Linked DNA regions of Nothobranchius furzeri. The protein of the gene in region 3 purifies or fractionates together with the protein of the main gene of each other region. This does not show direct contact. Links are inferred from orthologs where the notes say so. Each region holds a gene or a part of one and is shown on either strand. Other genes may lie near its edges.

Region 1 (4,198 bases), on a different chromosome or scaffold from region 3:
AAGACAAGCTAAATTCCACACACACACACACAGTTTGATCCTTTGGTCAGCCAAACGAAGGATCCGCCATTTTGTTTTCAAAACTCCCTCCAGTTTGGTAATCAGCCTATCTCTGCCTGCTTACATCATCAAGCAGCCTCACCATTGCCTGATCACATAACCATCTCACCCCACCGGTCTGATTAGATTGTTACGTCACATCATCATTCCATGGTTTCATTGCCTGTTGTTTGTTTGATAAAATCGGTTGGTTGATATTGATTGGCTAGCGCTTTGAAGGAGCTAAGGTGATTATATTAGTCAATAAATGTTATTGCCAATTAAGTTGTCTCAAGTTAATTTGTCTGTGTTGGATAGAATATGACCGCTGCTCGTTAAAAGAATTTTACGAACTTTAGACAGATTGATAGAGGCTTGGATTCATTTTTCCCCTATAAAAAGGGGTTGTGCCCCTAGGCATATCAACGGATATCCTAATTACGTAATAAATCAGTAAATATTTCCATATTTACGAATTTTATTGATGAATCCAAAGAGTAAGTAAAGCTTACAAATTATTTGTTGGCTAATAACCACAACACTGGCCTGTTTAGGATTAACTCTTAGCTCGACAGACAGACATCAGAACAAATCTCTTGTTTCTAGAATCTAAAGTAACACAAACAAGTACGATGCTAACTATTCACATGAGCCCACTTTTAAACATCTGAATTTTCCAAATGAATGCAAAAGGTGACTTTTGTATAATATGACCCCTTAGAAGTCAGTTTATGGCCAGAACACAGTCTGAATGTTAGAATCACCATTAGGGATGTAAGAAAATATCGATATGGCAATATATCGTGATTTTTTTTCCAGCAATGTTAAATCGATATGCAAAAGCCGTGTATTTAATTCTTGAAAGAATTTACATGCAAACATTCGTGTATTTTCTTTTCGTTTTGTGCAATTCAATCACCACCCGCTAGTTGGCAGCAGTGTGCAACGGGTTTTGTTTCCACCATTGAAATGTAAAACCCTCCATCATGGTTCAGATACCTCATGTTAAACATGTTACGTATCAGTTTGGACTGTTATTGAACATTCTTACAATAAATTCAGTGAAAAAAATTGCTTGTAACGTCTGACTGAATGTATAGCAATACAGTAATCCCTCGTTTATCGCGGTAGATGCGTTCCAGACCTGGCCGCGATAGGTGAAAATCCGCGAAGTAGGGACTCCCAGCATGCCCCTCGCGGGGATTCCCTCCACGTCGCACCTACGTCACAAACCGCGGCTATAAACGGAAGTCGCCTTTCCAGCTCACCACTCAGTCATCGTTTCTTCAGATTCATGATCAGAGTTTCCAACCTACCGATCCATCCCATGAACTATCAGCTCATAGTAAGTTATCTTGCTTACTTCTGGAAAGCCCGGCATTTCCGTGTCACTTCGTTGACGCTCGAACGCTCGGGGGTTTCCTAGATCAGCCGGCGTTTCACCGACGCTATCACTTCCGCGTCTGTGAAACCACGCTCCCTATTGAATTATCGTATGATCACATTCTTTTTTTGTGGGTAAAACTCAAGAAAAAAATTTTTTTACTTGGTTTTTTTTAGTTTTATTACAAAAAGTGCATTTTATGATGAAATTGATGGAAAAAAACAAGAATTTCTTGATATTTCGCATAGAAAAATACCGCGAATCAGTGAAAAATACGGCGAATTCCCCCTGAAAAATGCTCCAAACAAAAAATCCGCGAAGCAGCGAATCCGCGATGAATGAACCGCGAAGTAGCGAGGGATTACTGTATATCGTGATATATCGTATTGTCTCCCCTGTATCGTGATATGTATCGTATCGCCAGAATTTCAAAAAATACACATCCCTGATCAACATGTTACCACTAACATGTAAATATTCAGTGGGAAAGCAGGGTAACCATTAAACACCCTAAGGATTGCAGACAGATGTCGGCTCCAGCCTTGTGGCCATCGGCACTTTCCTGTGAGACTGCTAGCATCAGGGCCAGATCTAACACAGAACTCACACACACTGTAGTGTGAATTAATAAAACCTGGTCAGGATGACTGTCCAGGAATGTCTCAGCCTGGGCTCAAGTGATCTGCTGGTTTCACCAGAAGGTGGCCTGTCTGATCCTATTGCATAACAGCTGTGCAGATGGAGTGCCATCTTCACCATCAGCAGCAGCTCGCTGCCATTTCACTGCATCTGCAGCAGCATCTTCTCCACCCCAGACCCTTCGCACCAGGGGGGCCCACTCGCGAAGAGCCAGCCTCCAGGAGAGCCGAGGAGGAGAACCGTGCGTGGAGTCGGGCAGGCTACCCCACCCGAGGGATGGGCGCGCGCGCGCATACATCCACGATGTGGTCACACTCGGCCCTTTAAAAACTCACGTTACAATGAATGAAAACGGAAATGAGTAACGGGAACTGTCAGGAACGGCTTTACTGGCACGATTGTGTCAATCAACTTCAACAAACCACCAGACACTGCATCATCTGATGGTTTTACACTTCATGCTTTTGGTAAATCTAATGAAAAAGCTCGCCTCTGAATGAACCGGATAGCCGGTTAACTACTCACCCATTTCAGCAGGGTGTTACTCCGGAAAACAAACCGGGGTGTCTGGGTATCTCCGTGAAACGCGTCGCACCAGCCGGAGGCCCCACTCGTCTGGTCTCCGGGGGAAGTTAGCGGGTTGTGGGAGCTAGCTATCGAGCAGCTGCAGCAAGCGGCCGGTTCGGTCGGACAGTACGGTTCTGAAACAGCGGGAACCACCAGGCTAACACACCGGACTCTCTCTCATGTCCGTGCTGACAGTCAGTGGTGGTCTGGCTGGCAGTTCCCGAAAAACTGGTTCAGTCAAACATGGCAGAATCAAGCTAGGAGACCGGACGGAGATGAAAACATCCGGTCAACACTTTCAAAATAAAGCAGCCAAAATGTGCGGTTGTTGACGCGCACAACCAGTGGATGGCAGTGTTCTCTAACTTCCCTCTGGGATTAATAAAGTATCTTTGAATTGAATTGAATTGAGGAAAGATGTCCAAAAGGGTTCAAATTCCTTTACAATTAATATAAAATAAGTTTGTTTCAGGGGCGGATGCTGGTTAACCCATTTGTCATTTAAATAAATAAAATCTAGAGTTCATTGTAATGTCATATTTGTCACATAAAGAGTGGGAAAAAAAGAAATGTCACACTTTATAAAAACGATGTGAGTGTTGTTGGAAAAACATGCATAAATGTGATAGGATCATACGTCATCCAGTAATGACTTATCAAAATAAAACAAATCAGAACAGGTTTCTGTAAAGAGTGTCTGCTGAATAAATGTAAATCTACAAAATCAGGATGTTGTGTTATGGTATCGAGGCTGCTGCATCCCAGCCACTGGTGATGGAGTCAGAAGCGTTGGAGCCATGAACACAGAAAAGAACAATCCGATTAAATCCACTTATTTCATCTGGAAAACTTCCAAAGACTGGATAAGTGCGTCGGTTTCCTCCTCAGCGTGCAGGTGAACCTTCAGTCAACATTAGATAAAAGCATTCTACAGCTGAAAGAAACGATGAAGTGTTCATCAGAGCCTTCCTGCTTAAATGCTGAGTTTGTTCTTTTCAAATGTTAGATCACATTTTTCTTTCGTCCTGATGGACTTCTTTTTAACTTTAACGCTCTGACAACCCGCAGAGCATGTTTTTGCTGTTTTTATTCTCTGTACAGGTGCCTGAGCCTCCATGCAGGAAGGGGGGGCTCGGGGGGGGGCTCCCCCCCTCCCCTCCCCACCATAAGAGGACCGCTACTCCTGCAGCAGCGCGGAGCTCCTCTCCTCCATCCTTCTCCTCCTCCTCCTCTGACTCGTCAGTTCGCTGGAGGCGCTTGTGTCTCTCTTTGGGAATCGTTGTGGATTCAGCGCATTTCTTCGTTTAATTTTTGAGGAATAAACGCAACACCGCTGACGCGATGAGCAACAAGGAGCGACGAGGCGTGAATTTCAAGCGCTTGCTGAGGAAGAATTGGCTTCTGATCGCCACGGTTGTGTCGGTGCTGCTCGGTATGTAGAAAGCTTTTGCTCTGAAACCCTCGCGTCTGGATCCGAACGCATCTCCATCTCTGTCCGTCTCAGACCACCGTGTTGAGCTGCGGGCAGGTTAGAATTAATTAGCATTTTCTGCAGCAGCTGGACTTCCT
Region 2 (4,107 bases), on a different chromosome or scaffold from region 3:
GTACTGCTGTTGACAAAACAACTGCATCATGTCTGGTTTCTCACGTGTTTACAGTGAAAACGCGTCTGCAGATCAGACCACAGCAGTAAGCTGTCGTTCAAGACAGCAGCCCATTACAAGCACACACAGGCCCCTCAGCCACGTAGAGCATTTTAAGTCTATGGAATGCAAGTCTATGCTGATAAGTGTCCAACTAGGTTTAAGATTATCAATAATCTTAACTGTGGACTCTGAGCAACCTGCAACTGCGTCATTCCTTAAAAATGACTTGATTTACTTGACAGAGAGTAATATTGTGTCAGCATGAATTAAAGTAGCAATCCAGAGTTTTCCACCTTTCAGGAATTATGTATGTTTTGTTATAAAATCCCTAAAAGTAACAGTTTTACCCTGTACTGTGATATAATGTAGTCAACTGATTTTTTTTGCTAAGCTTGATGCCCTGTCCTGTGAAGCCCCATGCAATTTGACTTGATCGCTGCTCAGTATTAGGCAATAGCATTACACATCTGCTTATGTACTGATGTCAACCACAGAGCGGGCGTGAACATTTGACCTAGACTGATGCACGGTTAGCAACAATTCTTATGGCCGAGGAAGCCATTCACATGAGAATATTAATTGTAAAACAATGTGCTTTAGCTCTGTAGGCCTGCTAGAGGTGTACATTTACAAACAGGTGCTGCTTTCAGCTGTAATTTGGGCTAGGACAATAATCAATAAACCAATTCATCGTACGATGGATGAAAATGAACTCAATCATTTTTACAGCTTCAATATATTGAGAAATGTACAACCTTATTTTTATTTATGTCATTATTGAAGTGCAGTTTTGGTTGTGACACTGGATAGGCCATTGTATTTATTGTTTTGGAGAGACAGGGTCTATTTCATTGCTTTTGGTGCAACATTTTCTAACAGAGAGTGAGAGTCCTTTTTTGTTTGTTTTGTTTATTTATTTAGAAGTTCTGGATCTGGACATTCCAATGTTGAATATAAGTTTAATTGTTGCATTTTAAAGGATGTATTTACATTATTATGATATATTAACATTATATAAGTGGTTATTTTGGTCTCGATAATGTCGACAATAATATCGTTGATCGTCAGTAATTTGTTGGACAATAAATCGTCCGGCAAGATTTGTTATCGTCCCAGGCCTAGCCGTAAACAAAGATGTATTGAGAGGGGCTTAAGGTACAATTTAAAATGTCTGCCTCTAGATGGTGCCCTCTGAGGAAAAAGACTCCAGATTTCTGCTTTAAGCTACAAAAAAGTAAAAAAATAAATAAATTGATGAAAAAGTTTAGACTTTTAATGAGAAAAATAAAGTGTCAGGTCAAACAAAAAGTAATAACTAAAGGGAAAATATGATCCCAAAAATGTCATGAATAAAACACACTTTTTTTTAACTTATGCACCAACCTCGTCTCGTCTCGTCTTCCTCCGCTTATCCGGGTCCGGGTCGCGGGGGCAGCATCCCAACTAGGGAGCTCCAGGCCATCCTCTCCCCGGCCTTGTCCACCAGCTCCTCCGGCAGGACCCCAAGGCGTTCCCGGACCAGATTGGAGATGTAACCTCTCCAACGTGTCCTGGGTCGACCCGGGGGCCTTCTGCCGGCAGGACATGCCCGAAACACCTCCCCGGGGAGGCGTCCAGGAGGCATCCTGACCAGATGCCCAAACCACCTCAACTGGCTCCTTTCGATCCGGAGGAGCAGCGGTTCTACTCCGAGTCCCTCCCGAATGTCCGAGCTCCTCACCCTATCTCTAAGGCTGAGCCCGGCCACCCTACGGAGGAAACTCATTTCAGCCGCTTGTATCCGCGATCTCGTTCTTTCGGTCATTACCCAAAGCTCATGACCATAGGTGAGGATTGGGACGTAGATCGACCGGTAAATCGAGAGCCTGGCTTTCTGGCTCAGCTCCCTCTTCCCCACGACAGACCAACCTACTCACTGATTATAATGGGAGTTCATTTCTGCACACTCCCTAAAGAAATAAATTGATTAATTTTTAAATATTTTTTTAACATTGCAGTCTTGCATAAAGTGAATATAGTTTATTTATTTATTTTTAATTTCAAATCCCCATCTGGACCATAAATGCTTACTTAAGAATTCTATATGAAATATGATGGGTCTGCAACCCTATTCTTGAAAATAACTATTTGAACAATTTATGTCGTAATTATGTCAAATAATCCTTACCCAATGACTCATCCAAAACTATTGGAAGTAGGGATCGGACCACGTTTCAGTTCGCCCTGGAGACCCTGAAGGTCTCACCACTTTCCAGCCTCATTGTCTTGTCAGAAAGCATGGATAGGTCAGCTTACCTCCCAGACAGAAAGGGACGACTAAAACAAAATACATGCAAATCCGGTTATTGACCCTGGATGTCTGTCTGAAACAGGTTTTAGTCAATGATAACCATGAACGATTGAAATTAGCAATAAAACGCGAGTAAACTAAGAAATTGTGACAATAACCGCATTAATAAACTCGCCTCAAACGTTACTGTCTGTAGCCACACCGGTACGGAGGTCACTAACAACACCCCAAGCAGACGGCCCGGTCAGGCAACTCTCGGGAGTTTTGTTACAGTACCGGTGTTAGGAGATAATGTTTCAACGAAACAGTTAAAATCTCACCTCTTCACGGTGAACATTTTTCTTGTTAACCGTGTCCGCAAGTTCATCAGGTAAGAGCACCGACAGCTCAGTTCAGTCGATTTAACAGACTGGCTGGTCCGGGTTGCGCGTGAGGTCATCAGTTTACTCCGGCTGCTAATGCGCATGCGCTCTTGTGTGTTTATCTCAGTGCTTTGTGGATATTGTAGTACTGAACAAGAATATGAGAAACGTAACTTTAAATGACTTTAAAAGCTTTGTTGGTGTGGATATTTAAATGAAGCAACATACAACTAATAACAAATTTGACAAATAAAATTAAAATACGAGTTTTCAAGGTTCCTAAAAGTGATAATAAAGCTCAAATATTTTAGTTTAAGTAAATATACAGTAAAAAATACTGATTAAATAATATTAGATTTTACAAACGTGTATTAATATTTTCCGGCTAAAAACAAATCAAATACATGTAAAAAAAATTAAAAAACCAGCAGCATTTTAAGTGATCCGTTGCACTATTCACTAAGTTTCCCTCTTGTTAATGACAAATTTGTTTAACTACTGCAGATGTAAAACATAATTTAAAACGAGAAACTCGTGCATTAATTTGTAGTCAATAACACAAATAACGATTTACTGCCATCTAGTGGCACAAAAAAGTACAAGTGACTTCAGAACAGCTTTTATCTGACAGTATTCAGAAACTTCATAGGTCATTAAAACCAATAGGTTGGTTTGCAACATTTAGAAAAAAAATCACAACTTTAAGGTATCAACTGTTTCTACAGGGGTGTAACCCACCTCTTTGCACTCGATCCAGGGGTCTGAGAAATCCTGCGATGTCGCTCAGATCCAGAAATACTTGCAAACTATACAGCAATACTGGTGATTAATCTAAAACCTATTGTGTTTAAAAAACAATATTAGCAGAAGGCATTTTGTGTTTTGGAAATAAAAATGAATTCTTTAGAGTAGATTTTATTAGCATGTCAGCAATGTAAAACTAAAAGTGGATTAATGCTAACTGATGCATCTTTTAAAGCAGTTACCAATGTAGTTTCTTAGTAAAAAGCAAAGGAGTGAAGTTATTTTAAAACTATACCAGAATCAGATCAAATGATTCTGCAGCACTACTGCTGGTCCTGAGATATATCAGTAAATCTGGTCACTTAATGCAACATTAGATGACAAAGAAGCCAGATTTAAATTAAAAATAAAAACGTTAATTTCAGATTCTTAAGTTAATTAAAAAAATGTTATCTGCTGAACAGAACAAATAAAATACAATCATCTGGTGGATAAATTTTCTAGATTTCCATTTTAAAAGAGAAAACTACTTATATATATATATATATATATATATATATATATATATATATATATATATATATATATATATATATATATATATATATATATATATATATGTATATATGTATGTATGTATGTATATATATATAACGTCTCCAATACTGA
Region 3 (4,225 bases):
TAATTTTGCTAGTTTTGTGCCATGGATTTCACATATGTCTGTGAACTTCAAAGACACATTTTGATACCAAGAACGCGCTTATTTTCAAACAGGGCGAAAATAAGTCCAGGACTACAAATGCGCTTCACGAAAGTGACATCATCACACCAGACACGGAGAAAACTGAGGGAAAAGGGCTGTAACCTCAGCAAACTTCCCACAGGAGGAAAGAACCACCATAAATCTGGTCATTTGGTAAGTAGCAGCTGCGTTAGGGGAGAGGAGATTATGTGATGACGTCACATATGCGACGTGCCGATTTCTAGTTTGTAGTCATGCTAATTACGAACTTTTACAAGCTAATAAAAGTACTTGACTGGCATGGTCAAAACACCCATCATTAATTTTCATTTAAATTGCAGTACAACATGTGTGATCCAGGGCGTAAGGCAAAGCAGATTAGAAAATAGTGTTTTTAGCCCCATTGACTTGCATTCATTTTTTTCATTCTTCCGGAGACCTATGGTGCGGAAGTAGACTTAGGCTCCCTATTGACCCTTTGCATGTGACGTCAGGCCGCTCATGTGACCGCCCCCTTCGCCATGATGGACAGCAAAAAGATCGTTTGCACCCGTTGAAACTCCAGTGAAGCTAGTCAAAACAAGCCAGTTTGTAGCATTTTATCGCTTTTATTTAGTTGATTTGACAGTAAAATGGTTTTAGCTTGCTGCGTGGTTGGCTGCACTAACAGACAAGGATGTCAACTCAACTCGTTTTGTTTTTTTAATAACTTTGATGGAGACCGAGGATGGAGATGAACTGCAGCGATCAATCAAGTGGACTAGCAGCCCTCAGATTTGCAACGAACATGTTTTTACCAGGTAAGATAAACATTCATTTATTTCACGAGGAAGACAGGGACAGGGATAAATGTGATGTGTTTATACTAGTTATTGATAATCCTGATGGATGGGTATTTCACCACTGAGGATGTGCGCTGCCCACTGTAGTGTAAGGTGAGATAATTATTAACAATATTAAAGGTCCGATGTATGATTACATGCGTTAAAATTAGGTTATTTATTTATATGAGCATCACCGTTCAGAGATCTTCTCATTCCGGTGTGAGAGCAGCAGCTGAACCTGGTAACACCACCAACAACAGAAACTGGTAGGGATCCGGACTTTTTAAAAATCAGCTTTGGTGTAAAGTGAAACGCTGTTTATTACATAATGTTATAAATCCAGCGGGGTGAATTTAGGCAAAGTCAGCAACATGTTTACATCGATGAACAGCTGCAGAGAGAACGTAAGCTAACGCTGGGAAGCTAGTTAACATACCGCTCTCTATGAGCCCCCGCTAGATGTGCTACTTCTGATAACTGAACTGGGCATGAACTAGTTGAAGGAATGCTGGAGTTTTGTTTTTGTTTTGATCGCAAAAACAATTTCAGGCTCTACTTTTCCCCTTGGTTAGTACTCGTGTCGCTCACTGTTTACATGCTTTTGCCGTCCAGCATGGTGGACCAACGTGACGTCGTGCAAAGGGTCAATACAGAGCTGTGAATGGCCAGCCAAAATGCTGCTAGGGGCTGTGGAGGTTCCAATGGAGCATTCCTAGACCAAACTTTGCAAAGCAAGAATTTGGTCTAGTTCACTAGACTACCAATTAGCTACATGTTGTCCAAAACTACAGGTTCCAGTAATCTATTAAAGGCAACATGGAAAATCTTTACATTTTAATGTGCATAAGGGCTGGTTTTCTATGTGGATAAGGAAAAATAACCTCTAAGGTAAAATGGCTGTTTAGGAAGGGGTGGGTCTCTTTTGGAGAATGAGTGGCGCTTCCTGTCCACTTCCTGCTGTGTCTGTACAGAGCAAAGGTATTATGTTTTCATGTGAAAGACAAGTCTGAAGCATGATGTGAACTAATATTTCCAAGCTTTTATATGCTGTCGAATACCACCCCTTTGCGTGTTTAGGGAGTGTTCCAGGTGAAGCAGCTCCTCTGGTTCTGACTAAAAGCTGGGGTGTACTTTTGCTCTGTGGGGACCAAGCCTGCAAGAGAATTGAGGGTCTGCGCTACAAGAACTCAGCAGCACAAGGGTGTGGTGGCTCAGAGAAAGGAATTTTCTCGGGTCAGACCAATGTTATATTAGTTATCAGGAACAGGCGAGGGCAGACTTTGACCACTGAGTGGCCAAAATGAAGATATTTCGATTATTTAACTGTCCAGGAAATTCCTGTTGAGGGAGGAAAACCCGATACAACCAATCACACGCTCACCATTCAAGCAGGTTTTAAATCAGAAACCGAAAATAAAGTTATATGTGGTTTTTTAACGAGAAAACATTGGCCCCGTTTCTTTGATCAAAGAACTCAACATGATTAAATTACGCAATGAAGAAGAAACTATAAGGAATACCGAGGTGGTCTATGTCTACACTAGGACACTGCTGAGGAGAACAAACAGGTGTGTCCACAGATTACAAGGCCCTTTTCGGGTTTTTGGTCGATAACACTCCGAAAATCAACAGGAAACTTTTACCAGAGTAACAGGTTTCAACTCGCTGAGTTACTGGTATTTCGGCTCATTAAGCAGCGCGGCTTTATACTTTCCCATAAGTCCACAGACGGTAGTTAATAACTCAGTAAACTCTTCGGTTACGCAAAAATTACAGAATAAAATATGTGATTTTACCTCTGTCAAAAGACTGCTCTCGTTTAATCGACGAGCTCCGTGTTTTTGTCCGAGTTTTGTCCTCCAAGCCTCTGAGCTAATCGAGTGACTAGAGGAGCAGTCAAGACCCTCCCATCGTGGTGCTTTTAATGAGACTCGGAAAGTTGACAATCGACCTTTGATTTTAAACGAAGTCAAGAAAAATAATAATGATGATTTAATTTATTGTTTCTTAAAGTGTGAAAATTTTATCAAATTTGGAGAAATTTAGATTTTTAGGGTGACAATATGTGCAATACCACGCAGCAGAAGAAGAACAAAAAGAAGACGAAGAAAAGATAGAGACATTTTATAGTGCCTTTCAAGATCAAAACAAGGTGCTTCACAAGCACAATAAAAAATAAATTATTCTTTAAAAACTAACTATGAAAACAAAATAAAATTTGAACAAAAGATCACAGAATTTTTTTTATTTAAACTAAACAAAGACAACAAGTGAGGCCCAAAATATACATAAATTAACACTATGAAAAGTAGTTATTGAGGAAGAAGAGGATGAATAGAAGTTCACACAAAAGCCAGCTTTAACAGATGAGTTTACAGCTGCTTTATATAGGAGACCACGTCTGAGTCCATTGATCTCAGGTTCAGGGGCAGAGAGTCCCAGAGTTTGGAGGCCAAAACAGGAAAGGATCTGTCTCCTTTGATTTTTAGCCTGGTGCACTGCACAACCAGTAGGCTTTATTCACTGGATCTCAGAGACTTGCTGAGGCAGTGAAGATTATTAGTGTATGCTGGCACTTGTCCACAAGGCCCTGAAAACCAAAACCAGGATCTTCAAATGAACCCCGTATTTAGCCGGCAGCATGGACCTAATTTTCACTTTAGAAGTGGGGGTGGGGGTATCTTTACAGTATGCTAAAATGGGAAACAGGCTTCAACACAAACGGTTGTTTTCCGCTTGGTCCTAGAGCTCAACCAGTGTCAATTTAATGTAGCGTAATATTGTTTTTGGATGGTAAAAAGTGCAGGGGTCAAAACTTGACTTTGTAAAAGGGGGGGGGGGCATGTCCCCCTTGTCCCCCCCCCCCCCCCCCCCCCCCCAATTACGTCCATGGCCGGCAGCCAGTGAAGCTGGAAGACAACCAGGGTGACGTGGGTGTTTTTGAAGGACTTGATCAGAAGCCAAACAAAAGCATTCTACTCCTTTATTTTTCTTTGAAGAAGCCCTACTAATGTTAAATGATCCAAGATTCAATTTATATAGTCACTGATATAATTGTCAGTTTATTTCAGTCCTTGAACCTAACACGTTTCATAAAAAAGTTATGAATATAGTAAATATCTTCCTGTCAAAAATTCTAAGCTAAAAAGCTGTAAAATATCCATAATTAGTCCAAATAGATTTTGTAACATGTTCTTAACTTTGCCTGCTCAAAATGTCCCACTGTACCTGAACGCACCACAACGTCTTGGGCCTTTTGGATTTACGCACTTACACGCTATTGGCTGAAATTGTTCAACATTTTTTTGATTCCGCCCCTTTACGGTTAAAGCGTAATGACA

The links.
Region 1: the proteins of rho-related GTP-binding protein RhoC (region 3) and rap1gds1 purify together in Homo sapiens (co-immunoprecipitation; 3 studies listed by BioGRID and IntAct, counting the BioPlex papers as one, with this or other methods). This does not show direct contact. The link is inferred for Nothobranchius furzeri from reciprocal best matches to the Homo sapiens genes RHOC and RAP1GDS1.
Region 2: the proteins of rho-related GTP-binding protein RhoC (region 3) and disheveled-associated activator of morphogenesis 1 purify together in Homo sapiens (affinity purification with mass spectrometry; 3 studies listed by BioGRID and IntAct, counting the BioPlex papers as one, with this or other methods). This does not show direct contact. The link is inferred for Nothobranchius furzeri from reciprocal best matches to the Homo sapiens genes RHOC and DAAM1.

What each region holds. Positions count from the first base shown.
Region 1 is NC_091743.1:87,836,755-87,840,952, forward strand, and holds the start of rap1gds1 (rap1 GTPase-GDP dissociation stimulator 1), read right to left. Parts: upstream 2,809-4,198; 5' UTR 2,592-2,808; coding exon 2,588-2,591; intron 1-2,587. UniProt on the Homo sapiens protein: Acts as a GEF (guanine nucleotide exchange factor) for the Rho family of small GTP-binding proteins (G proteins) that stimulates the dissociation of GDP to enable subsequent binding of GTP.
Region 2 is NC_091742.1:4,350,770-4,354,876, forward strand, and holds the start of disheveled-associated activator of morphogenesis 1, read right to left. Parts: upstream 2,806-4,107; 5' UTR 2,653-2,805; intron 2,359-2,652; exon of another isoform or gene 2,210-2,358; intron 1-2,209. UniProt on the Homo sapiens protein: Binds to disheveled (Dvl) and Rho, and mediates Wnt-induced Dvl-Rho complex formation. May play a role as a scaffolding protein to recruit Rho-GDP and Rho-GEF, thereby enhancing Rho-GTP formation. Can direct nucleation and elongation of new actin filaments.
Region 3 is NC_091755.1:25,209,257-25,213,481, forward strand, and holds the start of rho-related GTP-binding protein RhoC, read right to left. Parts: upstream 2,806-4,225; 5' UTR 2,681-2,805; intron 1-2,680. UniProt on the Homo sapiens protein: Regulates a signal transduction pathway linking plasma membrane receptors to the assembly of focal adhesions and actin stress fibers.